2 linked regions of the Oryctolagus cuniculus genome follow. The protein of the gene in region 1 purifies or fractionates together with the protein of each later gene. This does not show direct contact. Links are inferred from orthologs where the notes say so. Each region holds a gene or a part of one and is shown on either strand. Other genes may lie near its edges. The genes, in order: RPL26L1 and CTCF.

Region 1 (4,331 bases):
CCCAAGTGCTTAGGCCCCTGCTCCTGTGTGGGAGACCTGGAAGAAGCTCCTGGCTCCTGGCTTCACGTTGGCTCAGCATCAGCCATTGTGGCCATTTGGAAATCATAGGATGGAAGACTTCTCCCTTTGTCTCTCCCTCTCTGACTCTGCCTCTCAAATAAATAAATGATCTTAAAAACAAACAAACAAACAAACAAAAAAAAACAGGCAGACTTGGGGCAGAGGAGGGTCCTTAAGGATTCTGCAGACACATTATGGGGCGTGTGCTGTGGCGTAGTGCCTGTGGCACCAGCATCCCATATGGGCTCCCATCCTTGCCCCTGCTGCTCCACTTCCTGTCCCGCTCCCAGATAATGGCCTGGGAAAGCAACAGAAGATGGCCCAAGTCCTTGGGCCCCCGCATTCAACATGAGAGACCCGAAAGAAGCTCCTGGCTCCTGGCTTCAGCCTTGCCCAGCTTCGGCCACTGTGGCCATTTGAGGAGTGAACCATCAGATGGAAGACCTACCTCTCTCTATAACTCTTTCAAATGAATAAAAATAAATCTTAAAAAAAAAAAAAAAAAAAAAGCGTGTGCAAGTGAGTTAGTAAATGAATGCGGGAACAGAGAGGGAGCCAGTGAGAGGCGGCGCTTGCAGGGAGTGCACATGCTCTGTAAGAGCTGCCCTGGGGCGGACCTTGGTCCCCTTCTGTGTGCCCTTGGTCTTGCCCGCCTCTGCCCCTGCACTGTTAAAGGTTAAGTGACTTCTTCTTTCCTCATCACAGGCCCCCCCCCCCCCCCCCCCGCAGCCCCAGTAACCTCCCTACTCCTGGATCAGGGCACGCACACTGGGTGGCATTGGGGTTGCTGTTGCCTCAACTACTGTAAGGGCAGGCAAACAGCCCAGGAGTGGCCATCCTCCAGAGGTCTCCAAGGCTGGCTGCAGAGGATCTAGGGCAAAACCTGAAGTAGGATCCAGATGGTGCTGGGATCCACACTGATGCCTTGTGATCCTGCCTACCAGTACATACTGGCGTTTAACCATTTCACCACCAGTAATAAACTGAGAGTGTGGCTGAGGGATGTGGGGCAAGACATCACCCTCTCTGAATTCCAGGGTCTCCTTCCATCAACTCATGTGCAGCGTCTGGCACAAGGCAGTCGTCCAATAGATCCAGGACCAATGAATGAATGAATGGGAGGGTTAGCGGTAATGAGCGAATAAGACCTTGCACAGAATAAGCCTTTTGGAGGCCCAGAGCCCTTCCCTGTCTCCCGGCCTTTGCGGTGCCCAGGAAGGGGACCTCCCGTGTGGTGGTCCACGCGTGCAGGCTCGCCAGGGCCGCAGATGTCTCAGCCTGTCCAGCCGCCAGGTGGCGCCCGCACCTCCCGCAGAATGGGAGGTGCAGGCCGGGAGGTGGGCGGCAGGACGCGGAGACGCGCGCGGCTCGGTCGCAGCAGGTGCGGCCAGGCGGAGAGGGGCGGAGCGGCGGCAGCAAGTCCAGCGGAGCACTCCGAAGCGGAGCACCCGGCACCCGAGTTGGTCCTTTTGGTAGAAAAAGGCTGATTGGTTGATTGATTTGACACAGGGAGAGGGCGAGGCGTGGGGCAGAGAAGATCTTCCCTCCACTGGGTCACTCCCCAGATGGCCACAACAGCCAGGGCTGGGCCGGGCAGGGGCTCTGTGCGGGTCTCCCCCGTGGGCGCAGGGATCCGACGACTTGGGGCCGTCCTCCGCTGCCTTCCCAGGCCATCAGCAGGGAGCAAGCAGCACGGCGTCCTGGGGCGCGGGCTTCTGGCTCACCTGCTGCACCAGCACACCCGCCTCGGTGATCGTTCCCGCAGCTACTGTAGAGGTATCACGCGTGATCTCTAGCCGCGCGGCAGAGTGCACGTGTGGGTATCAGACACAGAGAACTAACAGGAATTGATGATAAAGGTAGCCCGAGGGTAGGCACCGTGGAAAGCGGGGGCCTCTGATGTTTGACTGGGGCTGAGCGCCGCGTGCCAGGCTCGGCTGTGCCCACGCGGCATGGATGAGCTCATGTAGTCCTCGTGGCACCCCTGCGCGGCGCCTCCTGGGCCCGCCGCCATTTACAGAGGAGAAAACGTGGAGGCGTTCTCCTGAGGTCGGCCTGGGTGGCCCCTGCCCTTCACAACAGGGAGAAACCAGCAAACACAAGGGAGTTTTTGCAAAGTCCAGTGTTTGGTGCACAGCGATCCTCGAATTCTAGTGCACCACAAAATCCTCCGTGGATGGAAGAGTGACCCAGACCCACCATTGTCTGGTTCTGCACGACTTGTGATGGGGCCCGAAAGTCTGCATTTTAAATATGTTGCCTAAGACGCCAGTCCGCAGGCTGCAGGGGCATAGGGAGAGTATGGGGCAGGTGACGAACTCCCGACGGTGTGCCTGTTAAAGGAACCCCCGTGAGCCCCCATCGCGGACCCTAGGAAAACAGGCGCTTGTCTCCAGAGGCGCCACCTCTTGGGATTCCCGGCTTGAGGCCGCGCCGGGCTCTCCCGCCCCGGGGAACGAGATGCTGCAATCCCACCCCGGGCCGCAGGGGGCGCCCGTCTGCTTGCTTCCAACGGGAAGGGTGCTTCTCGGTATCTTTCTGCGCTTGCGCGGCCAGGGAGCCCTACTTCCGGTACTGCGCGCGCAAGTCCTGAACGTGTTCGGTACCAAGGAGGTAAGTAGGAGTGTTTTGTGTGCAGCCCCTTCTCTCCGCGTGACCTTCAGCTAAGCATTCTCCCAGCCCAAGCGTCCCTCCCTCAGCCGCTCCCCGCGACCCCTTTGGTCAGGCATGCGCCCCCGACTCAAGTCTTCCTATGTATGGTCCAGACCACGCGCACACCCAACTCTGCGTCCTCCGTCCGCTTCCTCCGTGCCGGTGTCTGCCCCTAGAGCACTTGGGCGGGGACGAGGAGGGGCGTCTCGGATGGGGAAGAGGCCGCCGAAGCCCACCGCGCGCGCCCTCGCTCCCCTTGTCGCCGCCCTCCGCAGACCGTCACCATGAAGTTCAATCCCTTCGTGACCTCGGACCGCAGCAAGAACCGCAAACGCCACTTCAACGCGCCGTCGCACGTGCGCAGGAAGATCATGTCGTCCCCGCTGTCCAAGGAGCTGCGGCAGAAGTACAACGTCCGCTCCATGCCCATCCGCAAGGACGACGAGGTCCAGGTGCGTGTTCCCCGGCTGCGGGGCGCCTGGGCACGAGAGCGTGGTGCGTGCCCGCCGGGGGAGGGGGCTGCAGCCTGTCCCGCCCTGGGCGAGCTGTGTGACGCTGCAGGTGGCGCTAGGGCAAAGGCGGGGCCCACAGCCACCGGGCCGTGCCTGCCCCTCGATAATCAGAACAAGATGGGGTGCTGTCGGCCCTTTGATTGGGCCGCAGGGCTGCTGGTTTGCCAGGGGTGCTCAGGGTGGCTGGTCGAGCTAGGCTTTGCAGGCCCAAGTGCTGCTGTGAGTTCACCGGAAGTGATGGACAGGCATTTGGGGGGAGCGTCGGATGGTGCTGGATTTAGCAGGGGACACAGAGGAGCACGGCAGAGGTGCAAACATTTGGGAAGTTTGGGAAAGTAAAAGCCCTCTGTTGCCTGTGACTGGCACGGACCCTGAGTGGGAGCAGAAGTGACAGAGGAGAGTGAACTGGCCTCTACGGGCTATTTTTGCCTGCTGACCTGATGTTGTTCTGGAAGCTAGCGGTGAACAAGGTTGTCGAGGCTCGTGTTGTGGGATCGCGTTTTAGAGCAGGTGTCTTGACCTCAGCACGGTTGGCCTCTGGGCCCAGATCATTGGTGTGGGAGAGCTGCCCTGGGGAGCATCGCTGGCCAGTCCCCACTTGCAGTCCCCCTCTTCACAACTGTGACAAACTGTGACTCCAGATATTGTCAGACGTCCCCCGGGGGTACGGTGAACTCCCCCCTGAGGTTAGTGGGGCTTGGGGTATGTCAGGCAGTGGACTCTGAGGGCTGAGGGATGTGTTCGAGGAAGAGACTGGAGCACACTAGAATACGGCATGGAGGAAGGGAAAGCAGGGGTGGCTGGAGTATGAGCAGTAGTTGGTGCTCCTGTCTCTCCTTCCCAGCAGACACGTTCTAGAAGGGGGGACCTGCGGCTGACTGCTGGGGCTAGGCAGACAAGCTCAGTAAGGGAAGTGGGCCGCTGCTGAGAATGTGGGGAGTTCTTGCCTCACTTGCGGAGACAGGCTTGTGCCTCCAGCCCTCTGCCAGAGAGAAATCCGGGCTGTTGTCAGATTCTTTTGTTTTGCAAGGGCACAGGAAAAATGAGATTCTCTTCCCCGGCCCCACTTTGTGTTGCCCGTGAAGAGCCAGGGAAGAACTGTCTGTA
Region 2 (2,922 bases), on another chromosome or scaffold:
AACAAATGGATGTTTTAATCTATTTTTTAAAGATGTATTTATTTATTTGAAAGAGTTAGAGGGGTCTTCCATCCGATGTTTCACTCCCCAATTGGCCGCAATGGCAGGAGCTGCACCGATCCGAAGCCAGGAGCCAGGAGCTTCTTCTGGGTCTCCCACGTGGGTGCAGGGGCCCAAGCACTTGGGCCATCTTCTACTGCTTTCCCAGGCCATAGCAGAGAGCTGGATCAGAAGTGGAGCTGCTTGGTCTCGAACTGGTGCCTATATGGGATGCCAGTGCTTCAGGCCAGGGCGTTAACCTACTGCGCCACAGCACCAGCCCCTTAATTATTTTTTGAATGTTCTCCCTGAGCTCCAAGAATAGAGTTCTGTCAGAGAAAAGGAGGTTAAGTGCAGATCTTAGAAGCAGCTCTCCGGTTTCTTCTGCACACACTGGAGTGAGCAGACAGGTGGGAGGGCCTGGGTGTGGGAGAACTACAGAATCAGAAATGTCCGCTTGTCGTAGGTGTGTCACCTACGTCACACACTCTTCAAGTAGCCTTAGTCACATGCTGTCTCATTTCTTGCCTGCATCTCATAGTATCAATTTCTGACTTAAAACTAAGGATTTTTACGTGTAACTTGGGAGGCGTGTGAACGTGAATGTCAGCCTTTTGTGCTCTGATGGTTTTCAGAGAACTGGGACTCTGTGTGTCCATGTTCTGGGTCTCTCTAAGTCTCTGCTTTATTGACTTTCTCCGTGTCACTACTAAGGCTCCCTGTATGTTGCTATCCCGTGGACTGCACTGTGTAACAGGGTCTTGTACTCCTGGGGGCTTTAATGTACCTTTTGTTTTGTTTTGTTTTGTGCTCCTCTTTGCCAGCAACAGCCATCATCCAAGTTGAAGACCAGAATACAGGTGCAATTGAGAACATTATAGTGGAGGTAAAAAAAGAGCCAGACGCCGAACCCACGGAGGGTGAGGAGGAGGAGGCCCAGCCAGCTGCCACAGATGCCCCCAACGGCGACCTCACGCCTGAGATGATCCTCAGCATGATGGACCGGTGATGGTGGGGCCTTGCTGGGCGCCGGGACTGCTCTGGGCTGTGTTTAAACGGCCCACATCTTAATTTTTTTCCCTTTTTTCTTCTTTTGGCTTTGGGAAAAGCATCATTTTTACACCATTTTACCAAACAAACTGAGAACGAAAACTTCAAGGATGATGTTAGAAAAATGTGATTTAACTAGAACTTGCTGTTTGATGTTAACAAATCATGGAATGTCTGAGTCCCTGCGGGTTTACTGTGAAGTGCTGAGGGCAGTGTTGACGCCTGACTGGTTTCTGAGACGGAAACAGAGACATTGGCCCCTCTCTCTCAATACGGTAAACCACTCCAGAATGGCTGCCGGGTTTCCCAGAGTTCTCTGGTCTTCTTCCCAAGAGAGTTTTTAATTGTAAATGCAGACTTGGGGAGGCCTTAGACTTTTAACCTGTTTTTTGCTTTTGCTTTTTCTCTGACTCCTTGCTCGAGTCAGCTGCACACCAGTAGTACGGCATGCTACGATCGGTTACTGTCCTGAACGCTTTGCCTCTTTCTTGGCAGAGTTTCTGGTATGGTCAAGCTTGTAAATAACTTTTTTTACATTTTAATCTTTTCCATTAATTAAGAGGTTGAAAAGAAGTGCAGTGTGAGAAAACCCAGCATTTTAATTACTTGCAAATTAAGTTGCCACAGACTTGGTAGTGTGGAATTATTAAAGGAATTGGATCACAATCATGTAGCAGATCGGCACCCAGCCTGCCGCCCGCTAGTGACGAGCCTCCACATGGAAGATCATGATTTCCAGCCCATGGAGCCAGCATTTGAACTTTGTACAATTAACCTTCAGTTATGATTTCCCATTGACATTTTCTTTGCTATGTTTAGCAGAATGTTGCGTTTTACGAATCCCCTGTCAGAGCCAGAGGGTGACTATGAGTGGGTCACAGCAGTCCTGACATGCTGGGCCAGAAATTTTCACTAGGTCAGTAATTTAAACTTTGGATCTTCAAAAACAAATAATAATGTGAAACAAAACCAACTAAAAAATGATTGTTGCACATGAACTGTCACACGTTGAAAATGTGTTTTTTAGAGAGCCTCAGTCTTGCTGATTTCAAACACTTTTTTTCTTCTGTGTATTGCTTTTTAAGAGAGCCATCAGTTAGCTATCAGACTCTAGGTTGATGCATTTTGTACTTAGCTGTACTGTGTGATATTTTTCATTATTTTAGGATGCCAACACGAGACCTGTAATAAAATATGTAATGGGGTTGAAAGCTGGGGAGGAGGATCTACTGCTGTACAGCTAATAAATCATAACGGATTAACAAGTGCTCCGAGGACTCTTGTCTTGTGTGATTCCTGCCTGCTGGCCCCCCGAGGGGCTGGCGCAGAGCTCCAGGCCGTGCCGGCCTCCGCATCTTAGAGGCAGGCTGTGTTCCTGGGATAGTGCTTCCTCTCGGGCAGAAGGAGAGGATCTTATCTTGGAGGATGTCAGGATTGTGAGTGCATCCTGCTGCACATTTAACTCCGCAAAAATGGGTGTGAGGAGAGCATCAAGTGGATGGGCAGTGGCCGGCCTCCGTGGTCCGCCCGAGGAGCGGGTGCCCGCTGCACAGAGCTGTGGAGTTGTAGTTGATGGGAAGCCCTGTCTTAGGATCTTGGCTCAGGGAGGCTGGGACCACTACCTGGGGCTTAGCCAGGTACAGGGGAACAGGAGAAGCTGGGCCCAACCTGCCAGAAGTCCATTTGAAGCGGGAGACACCAGGATTGTACAGGGGCTACTGGTCAGCGCCACGATGATGGACGGGGACTTGGGTCGTGTTAGGAAGCTCAGGCTTCAGCTTGAAGGCATCGTGTAGCTGCTGGCTGTTTCCAGATGGATCGCTTTGGCAGTGT

Evidence for each region.
Region 2: the proteins of RPL26L1 (region 1) and CTCF purify together in Homo sapiens (affinity purification with mass spectrometry; 3 studies listed by BioGRID and IntAct, with this or other methods). This does not show direct contact. The link is inferred for Oryctolagus cuniculus from reciprocal best matches to the Homo sapiens genes RPL26L1 and CTCF.

The regions. Positions count from the first base shown.
Region 1 is NC_091437.1:59,494,595-59,498,925, forward strand, and holds the start of RPL26L1 (ribosomal protein uL24-like), read left to right. Parts: upstream 1-1,361; 5' UTR 1,362-2,520; coding exon 2,521-2,673; intron 2,674-2,987; coding exon 2,988-3,164; intron 3,165-4,331.
Region 2 is NC_091449.1:50,881,777-50,884,698, forward strand, and holds the end of CTCF (transcriptional repressor CTCF), read left to right. Parts: intron 1-863; coding exon 864-1,048; 3' UTR 1,049-2,358; downstream 2,359-2,922.